Astyanax mexicanus: one gene and its partner. The protein of the gene in region 1 purifies or fractionates together with the protein of each later gene. This does not show direct contact. Links are inferred from orthologs where the notes say so. Each region holds a gene or a part of one and is shown on either strand. Other genes may lie near its edges.

The links. Proteins that work in one complex are often made in the same cells at the same time.
Region 2: the proteins of ppp2cab (region 1) and ppp2r2d purify together in Homo sapiens (affinity purification with mass spectrometry; 8 studies listed by BioGRID and IntAct, counting the BioPlex papers as one, with this or other methods). This does not show direct contact. The link is inferred for Astyanax mexicanus from reciprocal best matches to the Homo sapiens genes PPP2CA and PPP2R2D.

Annotation. Positions count from the first base shown.
Region 1 is NC_064424.1:48,042,254-48,052,962, forward strand, and holds the start of ppp2cab (serine/threonine-protein phosphatase 2A catalytic subunit alpha isoform), read right to left. Parts: upstream 4,951-10,709; 5' UTR 4,734-4,950; coding exon 4,632-4,733; intron 1,671-4,631; coding exon 1,461-1,670; intron 1,358-1,460; coding exon 1,184-1,357; intron 1,096-1,183; coding exon 1,006-1,095; intron 910-1,005; coding exon 748-909; intron 614-747; coding exon 495-613; intron 221-494; coding exon 148-220; 3' UTR 1-147. Other genes in the region: ube2b (ubiquitin-conjugating enzyme E2 B), read left to right, coding at 7,362-7,405, 8,666-8,746, 8,978-9,003, 9,206-9,295, 9,452-9,540, 10,394-10,522. UniProt on the Homo sapiens protein: Catalytic subunit of protein phosphatase 2A (PP2A), a serine/threonine phosphatase involved in the regulation of a wide variety of enzymes, signal transduction pathways, and cellular events.
Region 2 is NC_064422.1:11,976,141-11,986,858, reverse strand, and holds the start of ppp2r2d (serine/threonine-protein phosphatase 2A 55 kDa regulatory subunit B delta isoform), read right to left. Parts: upstream 4,459-10,718; 5' UTR 4,220-4,458; coding exon 4,213-4,219; intron 3,866-4,212; coding exon 3,791-3,865; intron 1-3,790. UniProt on the Homo sapiens protein: Substrate-recognition subunit of protein phosphatase 2A (PP2A) that plays a key role in cell cycle by controlling mitosis entry and exit. Involved in chromosome clustering during late mitosis by mediating dephosphorylation of MKI67.

The DNA.
Region 1 (10,709 bases):
CAGTAACCCCCGCCCCCCCACCCCCAACAAATCCCCCTAACCACCTCCCCCACCCCCCCATTGACCGGAGCTAACCCGCCCCCCCCTGTTTCTGAAGCTGAATATAGATTATTACATGGTGGCGATACAGCTCTGTGTTTCACAGGATTAGAGGAAGTAGTCCGGTGTTCGGCGAGTAACGTGGGGTTCTCCTCTGCGAGGGGCGGGATCAAACTGCAGGCTGTGAAGAAAAAAAGATCAATAGTTAGTCATGTTTATTGGGGATAAGAAACAAAAACAAAATATTCCTCTTTTTTTTTTTTTTTACAGAATGATGTTCAGGTTCTACCAGTTAAAAGAGCAGAGGAAAATACACCTGCAGAACAGAGCTAAACCAAGTGCCTCATCTATTTATTTATATATTTATACATACATACATACATACATAAAATATTATATAGCAAACATATCCACATATTCTTTCTACATTATTTTATTAATCTAAAGACACTTACAAAGAATACTTTAGGGTGTCATCCAGTTCCATGATTGCTGCTTGATTCCCGCAGCGATAGCAGTAGTTTGGTGCGCTGAAGATCGTTACCACATTACGATCGTGGCACCAGTTATAACCCTGAGATTAAAGAATACATTAGAAATCTTCATTAAAATCAGGCAGTTATACAACTTTAACTCCTGCAAACCCCTAACACCACAGTTTCCATAATCACCTCCACCCTCACATCCAGCGTTTACCCCTCGACTCACCTCCATCACCAGCTGATGAGCTCTGGAGACGAGGGTAAGGCCGTTGGCGTGGTTAAAGGTTTCAGAAATGTCCTGCCCGAAGGTGTAGCCGGCGCCACGGGGTGAGATTCCCCAACCGCCGCGATCATCCGGATCTGACCACAGCAGATCACACATCGGCCCCTGAGGAACACACAGCACGCATTACACTACTGCAATAATCCTGTACACACACACACACACACACACACAGTAATTAGCAAGGTCATCCATACTCACCTCGTGTGGAACTTCCTGTAGGCGGTCCAGGGCGCGGATGTGATCCAGCGTGTCTATAGACGGGGACAGTCCTCCATGAAGACAGAATATCTGAGAAGATCCAGTTTAAAAGTTTCAGCAGAGATTCAGAATACATTTAGAAAATGATCAAATACTAAAAGTTAGGTGATGAATTTACCTGTCCATCTACCAGAGCTGTAAGGGGAAGGTAATCGAAGAGGTCTGTAAAGTATTTCCAAACGTTTGCGTTGCCGTATTTTCTGAGGCACTCGTCGTAAAAGCCGTAAACCTGCGTGATCTGTCTGCTTTCGTGGTTCCCTCTGAGAATCGTGATGCGCTCACGGTACCTAACCTAAAAATAAATTAAACAATTTTTTTTTTTTTTTACTTTTTAACACCATCTTGGCAAAACGCTAGTTTTAATGTAGTTAAAATTTACTGTCAGTAGTTCATACCTTAAGAGCTACGAGCAGCGTGACCGTCTCCACAGAGTAATAACCTCGGTCCACATAATCTCCCATAAACAGGTAGTTCGTATCCGGTGATTTTCCTCCGATTCTGAAAAGCTCCATAAGATCGTGAAACTGTCCGTGAACATCTCCACAGACTGTTACAGGACATCGTACCTCCTGCACGTTCGACTCCTTTGTCAGAATTTCTTTAGCCTAGAAAAACAATTAAAACAGTTAATCACTGTCAACACACGATATATAGGCAGCTATTCAGCTACTATACTAAACTTTGATAATAAGTAAATAATTTAGACCACATCTCAACCCATATCATGCTCTAAACCAATCAGAGTCAGCGAAGTACCATGGTGATGTCCCATTGTGGTGTTACTCAAAGTCTTCCCAAGGCATGCAATCAACACAATTACTTAAGAAAATAGAGATTTATTCAGCTCGGAAAACAGTTAGCATAGCCAGTTACCTGTTAGCCATTGTAGCTTCCCTGCTACATGATAAAAGTCCTCAGGCCATCTCATATTGTTATACTTGTATACCATGAACAATAAAGAATTTATTTTTTTTCATTCAGATTTCACCCTTTTTGTTTTCTCAGAATTTTCTTTTCTTGCCCATTTTCCACGGCCAATTATCCAACCCACTCATTAGGACTCTGCTGATGTAGCATTGCTGAGTAGCATCACAGCGCTAACGCTCGGAGGAAAGTGCAACAACTCGGTTCTGATACATCAGCTCACAGACGCAGCCTTGTGCTGATTCACATCACCCTGTGAGTGATGAGAGGAAAGAGCGCCATCTACTGTAGCCCCCCAGAGAGAGCAAGGCCAGTTGTCTTGGGATCCAGAAGCAGATGACAAACTGCATGACCTGGATTCGAACTGGTGGTCGAAGTGACAGCGCTTAGCCCGCTGGACCTTTCGAACTCCCTCAGATTTCACTTCTGAATTATTGTGAAATATCTGTCTCTAAGAACTAGTATATCGTATTTAAGCTGGAATTTTTTATTATTATTTCAGCTTTTAATGTGAAACTGTGTAGTGTTGATACTCCAAGGCATATTTGAGGAGTGTATATAGTGCGAAAAAGACTCTTTTTAATTCATTTATCTTGAGACTTTAAGTCTAGAGCCCTGAACATCCATATCAACTTTAGGTAAAAGGTTTGGCCTCCATGGTTTGTCTAAACAGATCATTTTGCCTGTAAAATTCCTCTCTCTTTTATCTAATGTCGTGTATAAAGTTCCACTAGTACACATCAGGATTAGGTCAGGGTTTTGTTTGTTGTGTGAGGAGTGTGTACTGGGAGGACTGGTTCACACACAGCAAGACCAGCAGTGACCTACATAAGACCAGACACACCGGCAAAAACCTAAACGCACCAAAAAAAATAAAATAAAATTTACCGGCCCCCCCAGCACTGTTTTCACTACTACCCAAACAAACTGCACCAACCAGAATTAGTTTTAACTGGTTCAAATAGAGCTGTTGTGAAAACATCCAAATACTCCACTGCAATGTGTGCACACTTGGGATGCAGTTACTGATTTGGCTCAAATTAAACCAGTTCAAATCGTTAGAATAAGATCGTCTTATCTCAGCCGGTCGATAGCTGATCCCAATCAAGAGCATGGCTGGATACCAAATTAGCCTTTCCAGGCAAACTGGTCTGCAATCTTCAAAATTAAAAATGTTCTTCACTTTGGAACCAACCCCATTTAGAACATCATCTGCCAGAGCCAGACTTTCCGAACAGAACCACAAGCTCAAGATCGCTGCGGTGTTTTCTAGCTCTGCCGACACTCCGGGATGAGTAATGGACTCTTTCTCCACAAAGCACTTTTTTTTTTTTTACATATTCTACATTATAGTAGTTATGAGGCAGAGCTGGCTCAGTGTTTTTTTTTTTTTTTGATGATATGTGTGTGTGCTCACTAGCATGTATGTGTGTATTTACGGCACAGGTGACTTAAAGACAGAGGCAAAATTTTTCTCCAATACACAGGTTGACATGCATCGTACCTGTCAGCTACATTACTGGCCAATTGCATATTTAGGCAAAAAAAAAGAAACAATTGATAAACAGGTAGCATATCAATATGTCTAACTTCGTAACATGTTAACCAGAACGCAGCAACCAGAACTAAACCAAAACAATAAAAAAAAATTATTTCATGACCCCCTCCCCCCCTCCAAAAAAACAGTGTAGGGATTACATCATAGGGACTACAGAGCCATTTGTTAATTTCTCTCTTTAATTATCTATTAGTGTGTTAATGATTGTTATTGTGTTAATAATGTAATGGACTCTGCAGGCCCCTGGCGAGTGTTCCAGAGTGTTATAGTATTAGTATATTACTGGTGATGTTAGTTTGTCAGTATAAGTGTGTTGGTAATAGTGTGTTAGTGGTGATGTTAGTGTTAGTAGTGTAATTGACTGTGGGTCCTGGGTTAGGGTGTTTATGGTGATGTTAGTGTGGTAATGTTAGTATTAGTGTGTTGGTGGTGATGTTAGAGTGTAATTGTGTTAGTATTAGTGTGTTTATGGTGATTAGTGATGTTAGTGTAATGGTCTCTGTAGCATCTGCTGTTGAGGCTCAGAAACGCGGCGCCATTTTGAGTTTCTGCACAGAAAGAAGCGGAGAGCGGTGGCTAACCCGGCTCTACAACCACTCAGTTCAAATTAACCTAAAATAACAACAAATATTTCTTTATGCGAGATTAATGATCAATATAGCAGCTGGTCTGACCCCGCGGAGCAGCGCGGTGTAGAGAGCCGGGCTTTAGCGGGTGGGTTAGTGAGCTAGGCTAGGCTAGGTTAAGCTAGTTAGCGGCTGTCCGGCCCACACGCCTGTAGTTAGCTGTGCTATGCTATGCTATGCTATGCTAAGCCAGGCAAGGCGGTTTCAGGGCGAGTATATAATATAGTAATAATATAGCCGCGGCTCCCGGATCACCTGTAGATATTCTCGGTGTTTATCTGTGTTACAGTAAACTGAACGCTGAAGCGCTGCGGAACAAACTAACCAGAGTTTAACGGCGTTAAAAAAATTCCGACGCCATCTTACTGCTCCCCCGCACCTCAACTCCCGCACTGCACCACTCAACCCGCAGCCCGCTCACCCCAGCACACTCTTTATCACTCCTGATCACTTCGTACCTTCTCGCACAGGGTTTTGACCTGGCTCTCGGAGAGCTGCTTGCAGTCGTTGAGCTGCTCGATCCACTGATCCAGCTCCTTGGTGAACGCCTTCTCATCCATACCGCGATCTTCAGCCGGTTAAACTGCAGATAAATCTCTCAGATCCGCCCCGGAGTCTCCCAGCGCCTCGCCGCGATCAGCTCGATCAGTCCCTTGGGTTCATACGGCTCTTATCCGCTATTTTATCCGGTAAAAAAAACACAAACTGAGCAGGAAATAAACACGCAGCTCCGGTCCCGCCCGCGGACACAGCCTCTCGCACGCAGTCTTACCGGCTGCAAGCGCCGCTCTGATTGGCTGCAGATAGGCGGACCGCGCCTCCTCATTGGTCCTCAGTAGGGCTGGGCGATACGTCATACAAATCGATATATTTTTGATATATTAGATACTGGCTATTTTTAATAAAATGTGCCTAAAATACTATATATAAATCACTTTTAAAATAAGGTTTGATAGAAACGTGGTCGAGCTGGGGCGACAGACAGGTTCAATTGTTCAGGCGACTGTTCTTCTGTTTCAACAGTAACATTCTTTTTTCATTCTTTAAAACTAACTTAATTAATTGGTGAATAGCTTATAGGAACAGTCCACACTAAGAGCGTCAGTGTGAAGCCCTCCAATTTTTGTTTATCCTCAAAACCAGGCAGCTGTGTGAACCACAATATGTAATAATGTGTTCATTATGAGTAAATATGGAATTTGGAGGTTTACACTTTTATAAATTAATAATGTATTTTTCTACAATCATGGTTTTCAGACATTTTAAACAACATATCATTCAGCTAAAATTCCACCAACCGCAGCTGCTGTGTGGACCTTATCCTCCTCTGCAATAGGAAAATTATTGATTATTGACATGCAGTATGCATACTAAGACATCTGGAAAACAGAGGAAAACAATCGTAGTTTGAGATGATGTAGTGATATATGGCATCACATTGAATCTTACATTAAATATTTTGATATCTTTTCTGACACAGAAACTACTGGGGTTGTTTCGGTTCCACAGGGTTTTACTGTAGGGCTTATTAAACTGATATTAATAATTATAGTACTGTAGTTAAAGACCAGCACTAACATAAACAAACCTAAGTTATAAAAATAGAAGAAATTATAGTTTTTAATAATTATTCATCTCTTTGTGCATAAATATTCTCCACTAGCAGTGTATATACTACAATTTGAGAACCTCTGTTATACAGGATATAAAAAATTATATATCGTTATATTGTGTCAGGTTACTATCTGTGTTTTAATTCCAAAACATAATGCTCATATTTAGTTAGTGTGGAAAGGGTTTGGTTTCTTGAGGGATAACGCTTATCTTATCTTATGCTGTAAAAACAAATTATGGAGCAGTGTGATGACTCTTCATCAGCTGCGGTTTATATTTACCCGCTAATATCACACACAGCACTTCTGTAACGGTGAAGTACTGAGAACTTCAATATTGAATAAAATACGGATCTATAAAATGTTTAAATGTTTTTAAACGAGAAAGATAATTAATCAGCTTTATCTGAGAACAGCTGAGAAACCCTCCTGTAACATCAATCTGACATCATCCCCTATTATACTCATCTGAACATTCAGTAAATATATATATGAAAAGGTTTGAGAGGCATTTGTCACCTGAAAAGAACACAAACATCAAAGATCATCACTATCATCACTATCATCAGCACATTAAAAGCTGAATTATGAATATTAATGAACTAAAGCGAATTACAAGCACTTCACACTGCAGGAGCTTTCATCCCAGTAATGATGTCATCAGTGTCCTCAAGACCACCAATAAACAAGTAACACACACACTCACACTATATACACACACCACACACACACTATATAGACACACACTATACACACACAAGAAGAACAAGAACGAATCAAGAATGTTTTGTAATGGGGCCAATAAAGTCCTGATCTTAATCCAGTAGAAATGTTGTGGACAGAGTGAAGTGATCAGTTAATGTGAGGAAACCTGATTAACCACCAACATCCCAGAGTTAAAGCTGTTCTGAGTTAAAGTTCCTCCAGGACTGATCTACAGAGACCGGAAACATTTAGATCAGTTATTACTGTAAAGAAGGAAACTCACACCAGATACTGAAATCGGATATTTACATTATTTTACACTCACAAATATGTAATAATGGATCGTTTTCTTCAAAAAAATAAACGAGCAAATATAATATTTGTGTCTAAATTGTTAAAGTAGGTTCTATCTATCTACTTATAGGGTTTCAATGTTTTACTTTTATTTTCTGTATTAATTTACATCTAGCCTTCCAGGGGTTGTTTTTTGTGTTCTTTTGTTCTCAGATAATTACAAAATGTATATTTTGAATATTTTGTTTGTCGAGATCTGTTGTGTAATTTAAAATTTCCCTTCATTTTAGAGAGATTTACACTAAGCAGCAATAATAAAAATTACAGTATAATTTAAAACACCTCCGATATTTACATAAATGTAGAACGTATAACATTAAGGGTTATGAACTAATAAAAAAGAAAATGAATAAAAGAAATTAAATAATAAACACATAAGGCTTCTGTGAACAGTGTTTGTCGGGAAGGCGCGCGCTGGAGGCGGGGTCTGTGGTATGACGTCACGGGTTGTTTGGAGCAGAGAGAAGAGGCCTGGTTCTCCTGCGGCTCCGATTTTTACCATCAAACCCCCGAAACATGTCCACCCCGGCCCGCCGGAGACTAATGCGAGACTTCAAACGGTACATTACCTTTATACACACCTTTATACACCTGTATATCTGTGTATAATATGTGGTCGAGGGCGGGTTTATTCGGGGATGGTGTTCTGTCGAGTTGTGCTACCCATCGATAGGTGACCCAGGTCGAGAAAGTAAAAATCCATCCCAAGGTTTTGTACCAACCCATCTCACCCAGCTCAGCTCAGCCCAGCCCAGGCAGTGGGTACAAAACCCTGGTTTGGATATTTATTTTCTGGACCTGGGTTACCCACTTCTTGTTTTTCCTGATAATTTAGTTTTTTTTTATTACCGAGTGCATTATACAATCTGAAATCGCAGTAATCGTTTTCTTGAGTGTTACAGCAATGAAAAAAATGTATAATAATATAAATATATATCTATATGTAAATATTTTATCACCTATATTGCCTTAACTTTATCCTGATTTAGGCTATTCAAATATCATAGCGACACTTCTACGGCATGCAGCATGTTCTAATAATCAGTATTTTTACAGTTAAACATTATAAACTAGGGTAGCGCTGGTTGACAGGGTAGCAGAACTCGACACAACACCGGGCTCGGTTAGCCGGTTAGCCGCCGCTCGCTCCCGCGACCCGCTTCGCTCCAGAACGGCGCTTTACCTCTGTATTTATTACTGTGTTTATTACTGTATTTACTTTATTAACTATCTAACCAACTGACTATATATCTAATAAACATCCGCACCTCCCAGCCTTCGCTAACTGAGTTCTACCAATACACCAAAACACCAGAGAACCAGAGTATATACACCACTATAACCAGAGTATATACACCGCCATAACCAGAGTGCATACACTATATATACACACCATATATACAGCACTATAACCAGAGTTTATATACCACTATACAATATGTTATACAGATGTAATTTATGGTTTTGTGTATATGTGTGAGTAATGTCCGGCTCGGTTCCTGTTATGAATATTCGTCCTGCTGCCGATGCTGCTGATGCTGTATTTCGCACCTCAGGCCTAAAGACATTTAATTTGACTGTATATAAAATATAATTAACAACACTACTGACGTTTCACTGATTTGGGAGTGAATTGTACTGAGGGATTGTGGGAATCGTTTCAGTTCAGCCTCTAAAAATCCTGTTAATTTTGTTTCATGAAGCTTCAGTTCAGTGAATTTAAAGAACTTTGCACTGTAAAATTAAAGGTGCTGCCATGTTCACAGATATCCGTCCTCACTAGTGTTTAAACACAAGCGTTTCCTCTCTTTTATAATCAGACTTCAAGAAGACCCGCCGACGGGCGTGAGTGGAGCTCCATCAGAAAACAACATCATGCTCTGGAATGCGGTTATTTTTGGGTGAGTACTGATATTTATAACTAATACTTACAATATAAAGCTGCAGATACTGATAGAGCAGGGTTAAAATGGGACAACTTATAAATAAAACACTAAAGTAGACCTGGACAATATGACAAAATATATCACAATATATTTAATAATTTAGCACTGGTGAGAATTCCCTGACCAGATAAGATTGATATGTTTTTAGTTGTATTAAGTAACCAGAAATGTGTGTTTTTTTTACAGACCTGTGGGAACACCATTTGAAGATGGTAAGCCAATTATCTCTTAATACTACAAATAAAATACCTGGAAATCACACCCGCTATTCTGCGCACAGAAAGACACAGCACAGTTTTAACAGAGGTTAAATTGCTGAGTTCAGTTATTAGAAGTGTAGTGTAAGGTAGCGTTTATTTCATACTGCTGACTGTTTATTATTTATTTTAATCTTAACTCTGCATTTTCTTGCAGGAACGTTTAAGCTTGTGATAGAATTTTCAGAAGAATATCCTAACAAACCTCCTACGGTTCGGTTTATCTCCAAAATGTTCCACCCAAACGGTGAGAAGTTCATCCCTCTGTGATCAATAATCCCAAATACACAATCACCCCGGTACCTCACTATTCAGTGTGAGTGTGAGCGAGTGTGTGTGTGTTTATGCGCACCCTTAATGCCTCACAGTGTGTGATTATAGAATGTGTTGTTGTGTGTTGTAGTTTATGCAGATGGAAGTATATGTTTAGACATTCTTCAGAATCGCTGGAGTCCCACGTATGATGTATCTTCTATTCTTACATCTATCCAGGTACGAGATCATTCTGTAAAATATATTTATATTTCTTGTTAAGAATTATCATCTTATCCTGTGTGATTCTGTGTTTCTGTAATTTTAACTCTGATACTTAACTGCTAATAAAGGGTCATGATGTTTTATTACAGTTTTAGTTCTTATTAAATCTGTTGCGCTGTGTAAAAATCAGGCATATCTCGCTCCATGGTTGATTGTGAGTGTTTTTGTTTGTTTGCTGTAATAAGTGATGCTATTTTTTCATTGGCCGGTTAAACTAGTCCTTTTCAAATTGGTCTCGGTGCATGATATTTAGACTCTGTAAATAAATAATTAAATAAAAACCTTGACTTTTTTGTAAACATGGCCTCCCTTTATCATCACATTATCAGAACGTATCAGCAGCTGCCTTTTGACGCTCTGGGTTCAGCAGATTTGTGTAAAATCTCCTGGTTTGTTTCTGTTACTGAACCTGTATCAGATATTTAAATTAGTCCAAACGTCGCTGTCCTGAAAGCGTCTCCTAAAGTTTTGCAGCTCTGCAGCAGGAACCAATAAAATCAGCCGGAGGAGGAATTTACACTCAGTGACTCGACTATAAGAATAAAATGTATCATTTTTATTAATTTGGCCACATTTTGTTTAAATGATCGGTGGGATTTCAGATTCTCTTGATCTGTTGGTGATATTATGGGCTGTATATGGAGGAAAGTCTTAATTTTTTAATTTTTATATTTTTATGTTTTTTCTGAAATTGTTCCACAACTTGTGGCAGATATTTACACAGAATTCCAGGTTAATTAGAAGTTTAATTATGTGATTTATTAGCTGTTTGAAGCTCCTGAACGTCTTTATTCCCTGTGATTTTCAGTCTCTGCTGGACGAGCCGAACCCCAACAGTCCCGCTAACAGCCAGGCAGCTCAGCTGTATCAGGAGAACAAGCGCGAGTACGAGAAGCGCGTTTCTGCCATCGTGGAGCAGAGCTGGGTCGACTCCTAATGTCCGAATCCTCGTCCCAAAATCGCTCATCAATTTCTTTCATTTACCTCATCACTGAAAAGAAACGACACAAGTGCCGCTCGAGGAAAAAACGCGTAATCAGAACGGACTTCTTTGCCAACATGTTGCTGAAAGCAGAAATCATTGTGCTTTTTTGTTTTATTATATCTATTTTTATTATTGCATG
Region 2 (10,718 bases), on another chromosome or scaffold:
AAACAATGATAATAAAATGTATGTAACTGTCAGGTTAATTATTTATGTTTATGTATTTATGTTAATATTTTTTACAATGGCAGGTTGCGTGTTTCTTATACAATTACATCATCATCAGTGAAAAAACAGTATGGTTCATTAAATAAAATGTTGGAAATCAAGTTTTGCTTTTCCCCCCGCTTTTAATCTGATTAAAAAAAAAGAAAAAAAAAAGAAAGAATAATCGATTATATAAATAATTGTTAGTTGAAGCCCTAGTACTTATTAGGTGAGTAAAATAAAATAAAAAAGATTGTTTATAGCAATGATTTAAGACAAAATTCAAATATATATATATATATATATATATATATATATATATATATATATATATATATATATATATATATATATATATATATATTCTTTTTTTTTTTTTTTTTACATTATTTATTTATTTATTTATTTATTTTTCTTGAACAGGTTTTCAGCTTGTCTGGTGTGAAAAAAAATAAATAACCCACTGTTCACTTTCTGTTGCATCAACACTGTAGCCTCCAAGTGGTTTTACCCACAGAGAACATCTTCAGTGTTTCTACAGCATTGCACAACAGCCTGCTCTACACTAAACAATACAGAAGAGTTTCACACAGTTATACTCATACAGTTATATTGTATTTAATCATTAAACACAAATTAAACTAAATTATTGCAGAAAACAGGCAGAATAAACACCCACACTGATCTGAAAGAAGGAGTACGTCACCTGCACTCGCAGTAGTCAGATGCCAAACAGCTTGATTCATAGTGTAACATTAATTTTTCATCTCAATTTGTTCAATATTCTACAAATTAATTCAATATTTCTGTGATTGTCTTTTTTATCTCCAAAAATATCACAAAAAAATTAAAATAAAATAAAATATCAGTATATATTGTCCACCCCTAATCGTAATCACAAAAAAAAAAAAAAAAAAAAAAAAAAAAAAAAAAAAAAACATGCATCACCACAACCGGATGTTCACCACCAGCATGAGAAATTCACAAGTATACCACATCACACAGTGGAGAACTCTGTTTTCCGTTAAACAGCTTAAATCATCTCTGGACTTCATCTTAACACAGCTTTACTCAAAACTACAGGCCTGGCATGCACTGTGATATGTACGCACACACAAAAAATAATAATAATAAAACAGGGATTTAAAGGTTTCAAGAGTTCAAAGCAGAGCTTTTCTATCTGCCTTAGCACAACCTAATAAATGGACCGCATTATAAAGTGCACCATCAATGAACATCTATTTCAATAAACGTCTATTTTCATACAGTTCACCCCTAAACAGCAAAAGAGCTAGTGCTGTGGTTAGCAGCTAATGCTAATGCTGCTCCAGCCTTAGTGCTGGAGAAACTTTACTGAAACTCCTGTATAACTCTGTACTTCAGTAGAGTGACTTTACTGCTCCTTAATACCTGACTGGTAGAATTCATACATAAGGAGCACCGGATTATAAGGAGCTCTGATCATTTTTAGGAAAATTAAAGGATTTTAAGGGCAACTTTTAGTGTGAAAAATATGGTAATAGCGCCACAGCACTAAATCAATGAATAAGTGAGAACTGTGGGAGTGAACAGCCTCAGAAGTTTGTGTACTGAGGTGCATTAACAAACAATCTCAACATTCAACAAGTTTGGAGAAAAGAAAATCCATTATCGATATTTTCTATTAATACAACTAATAATTGATGTCAATCATAATCAGCAAAACACTGATCAATTATGGGTTAATAGATTTTCTCAAAACTGAGCATCTCACAATAAACCACCCTACACACACAAAATTCCTTTTTAATTTTTTTTTATTTCACATCATTCTGGCCCCGGATTGGACAGAATTGTATGCATGCAGTGAGCAGAGCGCTGTACTCATTTCAATGTGTGATATTTCTGAATATGTCTGTCTCTGCTCGTCCTATGCGTGACCTCACACAGCGACACAACAGCAGCTACACACGTCTCAGAGTAAACTCACGCTACAGACACGCAAACAACAGATCACTGCACTGACCTTACAATAATACAACACAAATACACCACTCTATAGAAGAAGAAAAGGAGAAGCAGCTCTATTGCACATTTCATTGTTTAAAGGGGAAAGAACCTTGTAACTTCAAAGAAATGATCCAAATAAACTATTTTACACCAATTTTATAAAAATCAGTTTCTCTGATTTTGCTATTTATAGGTTTATGTTTGAGTAAAATTAACATTGTTGTTTTATTCTATAAACTACAGACAACATTTCTCCCACATTAAAATATTCTCATTTTGCGCATTTATTTGCAGAAAATGAAAAATGGCTGAAATAACAAAAAAGATGCAGAACTTTCAGACCTCAAATAATATACATACAGTTCAGAAATCAATATTTGGTGGAACAACCCTGGTTTTAAATCACAGTTTGTTCATGCATCTTGGCATCATGTTCTCCTCCACCAGTCTTACACACTGCTTTTGGATAACTTTATGCTGCTTTATTCCTGGTGCAAAAATTCAAGCAGTTCAGTTTCAAGTTTTTGTATCAAAATTTCCTGATAGATGGATCAACAGAAATTAGCCAAATAAATTATATTAAACTACTGAATACTAGACTACTGGAAGATTAAATATTTCACTAGAACATTACTTTAAAAAGTCTATTCAAAAACTTACTGCATTTTATACAGTCACATATACACACATATATACACAGTTTGGACACACAGTCCAAACTGCTTGAGGTCTAGTGTAAAGTTTCCACCAATCAGTGATTGTTTAGAGAGACATGTCTGTCATCTGCTGATGTTGATCAACTGTGTTTTATTATCAATTCAATATTTCTGTGATTTTATTTTTGGAGGTGCAGATTTCATTTTCCAGCAGGACTTGGCACACTGCCAAAAGTACCAGTTGGTCTTATATATAATATTCGAATTTTCTGAGACACTGATATTTTGGGAGTTTTCATTGGCTGTAAGCTTCATAATCATCAACAATAAAAGAAATAAACGCTTAAAATAGATCACTTTGTGTGTTTAATGCATATATAATATATGAGTTTCACATTTTTAACTAGATTACTGAAATAAAGTAAAAGCCTATGATCCACCTCCTCCCTGCAGCTGCCCTACAGCCCTGTCTGTGCTGGAGTGTGAGGTGAGAGGAACATGGCACTGAATCATCCCTCTCTTCCCATCCCTCCACACAGCGCCCGCCTGCACGCGCGCGCGCACACACACACACACACACACACACACACACCCGAGGCTCGAGCTATGGGCTCGGGTTTGGCTCGTGCGTAAAGACGCACTGGCTGAACGAGCTGGACGAGTTCTATTTTCCATGCTGAGAAATTACGAACACAAATTGCATGGCCTAACCAGCTCCCTGCACCCTCCTCCTCCTCCTCCCTAGTGCTACTACTTCCCATAGTCGCGCGCACAGGCTAATGCTAATGCTAAAGCTCAGGCTAATGCTAATACTCAGACTAATGCTAAGGCTAACGCTAAGCAAGCACGAGTCTCTGTCAGCAGTCAGCGAGCGGCTAGTTAGCCACCTTAGCTAGAGAAGACATATGCACATATAGCTAACCTAGCTAACTAGCTCATATATGTGCATGCACCGGGGTGCATGCACGCTTAAATAAACTAACGTTAAACACCCGCGTGCGTGCGTTCGTTCTTGCACTAAACCAGCAGCAGCAGCACATCAACACCACAGTTACGCTGGTTTAGATGCATATAAAGATGCAGATAGAGGCACGCGCCGGGCTTACCTTCCGCCACATCCTCGTCTATGGCCCCCTTCACCTGCGAGAAACACCACTGGAAATCGTTCCCTCCTCCGACCCCTGCAGCGGCGCGCGGCGCAGAAACACACAGAGAACACACACACACATTTCAGTGCACTGCGATTATGAACAGTACAGTACAGTGTGTGTATATGTGTACATATATGTGTGTGTGTGAATGCATGGGTGCTTGATTGAATGATTGATTGTTTGTGTTCTGCAGAAATAGAGAAATACAGAGACATTGTGATAGATGGGGAGAGAGAGAGAGGGAGGGAGAGAGAGACAGGGGGGTCCAGGCCGGGTGAAGTAGCAGTTCAGTCCGGGTAACCAGCAGCCTCCTCCCGCCTCCTCTCCTCTCCTCCTCCGCTGCTGCTCCTCCGCCTCCTCCAAACTTCAGCTCTAACCTGCCATCGCGTCGCTCCGCAGCAGCAGCAGCAGATCTGTCCCCGGCCCCCGGCTCTCTCTCTCTTTCTCCGGCCGCGAGTTCCCGCCGGTCTTCCGCTGCCCGTAACGGGGAATCGCAGCGCAGGCCCAAACCGTGGAGAAGCTCCGCTCCGGTCCGGTCGGGTCCGATCAGCGCGCCGCGCGCATCGCCCGAGATTTCTTATTCCTCTCAAGATGGCGCACGCGGCCAGTCGACATGATGCCCGTGACGTCACCCCCGACCGGGGGCGCGCGCAGCGTCATGATAATAATAATAATAATAATAATAATAATAATAATAATAATAATAATACTTAATATGTAATACTTAATATACAAAATATACAATGGAAAAGTAGTGAGGTTGTTATGTGAAAAAAGTAGTCAAGAAAAAGATTGCAATAAAAAGTTAATAATAATAATAATAATAATAATAATAATGACGCACAAATTACTCAATCACTCTAATAACTTATGTGATAAATTCAAATATATCAATTTTTTAAAGCACAAAAGTAACAAAGACAGAGTTATTAAGAAATTATTTAGAACTCGTTAATAATAATAGTCATTCATATCATACCTTTTTTCACATCATTGTTTTGCTCTCTCATTATTTTGAGATACTAAGTCATTATTTTTATTATTTTGTATCTTAAAATAAAGATGTATCTCAAAAAAACTATTTTTTTATCTTAAAATAATAAATTTCAAAATATCAATTTAGTAAGGGCAGCCATTAACTTAATAATATGTGCTGAATTATTTAGGTGGAGGGAATAGAGCTGGTGCAAGAATTATAATATTTTATCAGTTACTTCTGAAAGAATTTAAGGTAAACCAGAACCATAAAATCTATTTTGGCAGAACATTTTACAGTTTATACAGCTAGACTCCAGCTTCTATAATTAAGATGAGAAGTTCCTCTTACACCTTTTTCCTAACAGCTAATTCAACATTATTACTCAGTTTACTGGTTAGCAATAACATTGCTCTTAGCATGTAGCTAACTGATAGTGAGCTAACCTAGCCTGTGTTAGCTTAGCATCACTATAGCTAAGGCTACCTTACCTAAAGTTAGCTCAGAATCGCTAGCGTTAACATAGCTATAGCTATAGCTCAGTAACGTTATTACTAAGGCTAACATATCTAGCGTTAGCTCAGTATCGCTAATGCTAACATAGCTAGCATTAGCACAGTATCGCTAAGGCTAACATAGTTACAGTTAGAATAGTAAGCAGCCTCCTTCAGCCTTTCAGCAGCTTTTATTTTAAACACAGTGCAAATAAAACCTCATTGCTTTGCAGTTCAGGAAAATTGTAAAATATATAAAGCTAGGCTAAATCACTGCCACATAAAATAATAGTTTTTACAGATTTCTGACAGAAGCAAAAATATATATCTACACAAATATATATACACATTTTTCATGAATTGTTGGACAGTTCCTTGATGATTGCTTTTGTTACTTGTTTTTAGTTGCCCCTAGTATATATACTAGTGCATCTCAAAAAAGTGAACATGTCAGTAATATGTAATATGTCAGTATTTCAGGTCAAAATGTGAAACTCACATATTATATAGATGTATTACACACAGAGTGATCTATTTTAAGTGTTTATTTATTATTATGGCTTACAGCCAATGAAAACCCAAAAATCAGCGTCTCAGAAAATTTGAATATTATGTAAGACCAATTGGTACTTTTTAGCAGTGTGGGCAGTGGGCCAAGTCCTGCTGGAAAATGAAATCTGCATATCCATAAAAGTTGTCAGCAAAGGTAAGGCAGTATGAAGTGCTGTAAGATTTTGTGGGAAAACAAAACAAGACTTTAGACTTGATAATAAAACACAGTGGATCAACACCAGCAGATGACATGTTTCTCCAAACCATCACTGATTGGTGGAAACTTAACACTAGACCTTGAGCAGTTTGGACTGTGTGTCTCTCCACTCTTCCTCCAGACTCTGCTCCCTTGATTTACAAATGAAATGTAAAATTTACTGATGATCAGTGATGGTTTGGAGAGACATGTCATCTGCTGGTGTTGATCCACTGTGTTTTATCAAGTCCAAAGACAGTGCCATGTTTTTTAGTCTTAAAATAATATTCTAATATTCTGAGACACTGCTTTTTGGATTTTCATTGGCTGTAAACCATAATCATCAACAATGCAAGAAATAAACACTTAAAATATATCACTCTGTGTTTCACATTTTGAACTGAATTACTGAAATTAAGTAACTTACTATAAACATACTAAATATTTAACAGCAGTTTGGTCACTATAACATTGTTAATACTATGATTGTTATTCACAGTCTGTATTGTCTGTGTTTCAGTACAGCTCTCCCTGTTGGAGTGGAGGGGTATCGGCTGAGAGGATGAGACCGGTCATGCTCCTCAGTTTTGGATCACAGTTTAAGGGTCTTGGTTCTGCTGTGTTTGAGGTAAATTACGCAGAACATTAAAGCTGAAAATGATCTCTAGCTTAAGCTATAGAACTGTGTGGTGCTTTATATGTATCTGTCTGGTTTTTGTCTGTGGGAATGATGTTTTTTTTATTTCTGAGAGATGGAGCTGCAGTTACAGGCTAGTGGCCAGAAGGTGGCAAGACGTCCACAGGTTATGTGCCTTTCTCTCTCTCTCTCTCTCTCTCTCTCTCTCTCTCTCTCTCTCCCTCTCTCTCTCTCTCTTTTTCTCTCTACCTTTCTCTCTACCACACAAATACTGGCAGCCCCAGGAGACATCCCAGCATCCCAGTTCTGCACCATACTCCTCAAGCTCCTGTGTGTGTGTGTTATATATATGTGTGTGTGTGTTATATATATGTATGTGTGTGTGTTATGTATGTGTGTGTGATCTGACAGCCTCTTCTTCTTCCTCCTCCTCTTCCTTCTCCTCTCCTCCTCTACTCTGCTGCCAGCTTCATCGCTTCATCCCTTGCTTCATCAGGGTTGGGGGTGTGTTCATGGTAAGCAAGCGCCCAACCCTTTTCTCTCTCTCTCTCTCTGTGTCAGCCTCCCTCCCTCGCCCTCTAAAACTGCTGCTCCTCTAGCAGCAGAGCTCTTATCCATCCTTCCCATCCTCCTGTTTTTCCCTCTGCTGCTGTTTCTGATGAATCATCCCCGGCTGCTTCTCCACTGAAGCCGGATTCTAGTTTTTTCTTCCCGTCCTCCATCGTTCCAGGGATGACATGAGATGAGAGGAGTACTGGAGGGGAGATGCTCAGTCGTCTACATGAAACTCTGGGCATGACAGCACATCCGTTCTCGTTTCAGAGCGTGTGCCGCGACTCACACAGCATGACGGAGGATCCGGCGGCCGCCTGGCCGCAACGCGCAGAAAACTGAAGGAGCAGCAGCAACATAAAGCAGAAGAAGAAGAAGAAGAAGAAGAGGAGGAGGAGGAAGAAGAAGCACAGCACAACCCTGGATCATGCACTTATGGTTAGATGCATCCCACTGTTACATCCCTGTATTCTGCATCCTGCATTTATTCCAACCAGCATCCATCCATCCATCCATCCATCCATCCATCCATCCATCTGCGTGTGTTTCTTCCTTTATCTCTCTGGTTGTGATGTAGCAGGAGCCAGGAAGGGTTCACAGTTTTTGGAGAGGCTGGGATTCCCTGTTAACCTCCCTGTTAACCATCTCCATCAGGGCCTGCTGGGCTGTTTGTCAACAACTTGTCAATAGAAGAGGATAGAATAGGCTTCACATGCAGGAGTAAAAGGGATAACGTGGTTGGCTATCGGTTTTGCAGTAAATGTAACATATAATATTAATAATCAATATTTAAGCTTATTCCAAGAGCTTATTTTTTGGTTTCATCATCTGCCATTGGGGTTGTTTCCTCTGGTTTCTCTCTAATAGATAGACTGTGTTTCATGTTTTTGGATTGTGTCCTAGGCTTGATTGGGGTCAGGTAGTAGCTGTGATGGAAGTGAAATGTGACTCTATTGAGTAATGCCTTTCAATGTTTAAGAATAGAGCAGACTGTATAAAAGTGTATATTAGGTGTTATACTTGGAGTCATAGCAGGCCTTTTGTTAGCTGAACAACAGTGTAAACATGCTTTATAAGAACTAAGCCATTCTTGTTGCTGTATGTAAGCCTTTGTGGTTGCTGTGGTCCTCCAAGTCTACAGATTTTCAAAAGAATAAGAGAGCACTTAAAAACGATGAGCTTCTTACAGTCTTAAGGAATGATTATAGCCTTGTTTAACGAACATAGTAAATACGCTTTAAACAGTAATGTTTACTCCATTTTAAGTTTATACTACATATTGTGTTCCTAGGTGGTTGCTATGATGTTGCTAGTTGGTTTCTATGGTCTCCCAGGTGTTTGCTGTGGTCCTTCATTGGCAAGCAGTATGCTGGTTGCTACATGGATGCAATGTCTTGCTATGGGTGTTAGGTTGCTGCTAAGTGAGGTAGGGGTGGCTAAGCGGGTTTCGTACTTAAGGGGCTTCTAGGTGGTTCCTCTGGTGTCCTGGGTGGTTTCAGGCTCCTGGCTACTGTGATATCTCAGGTGGTTCTATGGTGTTGCTGAGTGATTAGTTGATAGGTATAGGGTTGGTAGGTGTTTGGTATGATGTTCCTAGATGGTTGCGGTGGTATACCAGGTGGTTGTTGTGGTGTTGCTTTGCTATGTGATTGCTAGGCAGTTGCTGTTGTGGTTGTTCTTATGGTATTTCTGAGTGGTTGCTAGATGGGTGCTATACTGTTGCTGTATGATTGCTAGGGGATTGCTAGGTAGTTGTAGTGGTATCGCTGGTATTGCTAAGCGTTGGTAACCCTAAGGGTTGGTAGGTGTTTGCTATGATATTCCTAGATGGTTGCTGTGGTATCCTAGGTTGTTGCTGGGGTGTTGCTGTGTAATTGCTTGGCAGTTGCTGTGATATTGTGAGTGGTTCTTATGATATTTCTAAGTGGTTGCTAGTTGGGTGCTATACTGTTGCTATATGGTTGCTAGAGGATAAGTAGGTGGTTGCTAGGCAGTTGCTGCTATCCCAGATGGTTCTTGTGGTATTGCTAAGCAGTTGCTGGATATGTGCTATAAAATGACTTCTGTATTGCTGCACGGTGGTTGCTAGGGCATTGTTTGGGACTTGTTATAGTATCTCAGGTGGTTCTAATGAGGTTCAAGTGGTTGCTAGGTGCTACTACTAGGTGCTAAATTGTTGCTGTTGTGTTGCTAATATAAAGGGGGTGTTTTAGTGGTATAGGGTATAGGGTTGGTAGGCGTTTGCTATGATATTTCTAGATGGTTGCTGTGATATCCCAGATAGTTGCTGGACTGTTGCTATGTGATTGCTTAATAGTTGCTCTGATATTGTGAGCGGTTCTTATGGTATTTCTAAGTGGTTGCTATATGGTTGCTAGAGGATTAGTAGGTGGTTGCTAGGAAGTTGCTGTGGTATCCCAGATGGTTCTTATGGTATTGCTAAGCAGTTGCTAGATATGTGATATAAAATGAGTTCTGTATTGCTGCGTGTTTGTTGCTAGGGTATAGTTTGGAACTTGTTGTGGTTGCTAGGTGCTACTGCTAGGTGCTTGTGTTGGTGCCTGATTTGGTTACTCAGGTATATGTATCACTGGATCTTAAAAAAGAGACAGAAATGCAGCACTGAACTTTAAATTAGACGTTTGCATGAGTCTAGCGTATTTTACTTCTAATCAATATAGAATATTCCCCAGGTAACCTCCTTGTCTAGACTTAAAAGACTCAAATAAACCACATATACGTGGCAGTGCACCATTTTAAAGGTTTTCCTACCCAAGCACACAAAAAATAAGAGACCACTTCAGTTTCTGAATCAGTTTCTTTGATTTTGCTATTTATAGGTTTATGTTTGAGTGAAATGAAAATTGCTGTTTTATTCTATAAACTACAGACAACATTTCTCCCAAATTACAAATAGAAATATTCTCATTTAGAGCATTTATTTACCGAAAATGAGAAATGGCTGAAATAACAAAAAAAGATGCAGAGCTTTCAGACCTCAAATAATGCAAAGAAAACAAGTTCATATTCATAAAGTTTTAAGAGTTCAGAAATCAATATTTGGTGGAATAACCCTGGTATTTAGTCACAGTTTTCATGCATCTTGGCATCATGTTCTCCTCCTCCAGTCTTACACACTGCTTTTGGATAACTTTATGCTGCTTCACTCCTGGTACTCTTGATTATATTTCAGAGGTTTTCAATTTGGTAAAATCAAAGAAACTCATCATGTTTAAGTGCTCTCTTATTTTTGTCCAGAGCTGTATTTCATAGATAGACACTGAACATGACTGTAATCTGAGAACTGAGATGTATAGTAACACAAGTTCACAGCTTATATAACACACAGTAGCAGCTTATGCTCACATCGAGTCATCATAATCAATAAATCTGAATGGGGAACGCTGCCAGCTAATCAATGGCCTGGCCCAAGGGATGATTACCTTGGAGTACCCTTACATGTTAATGATGCTGTT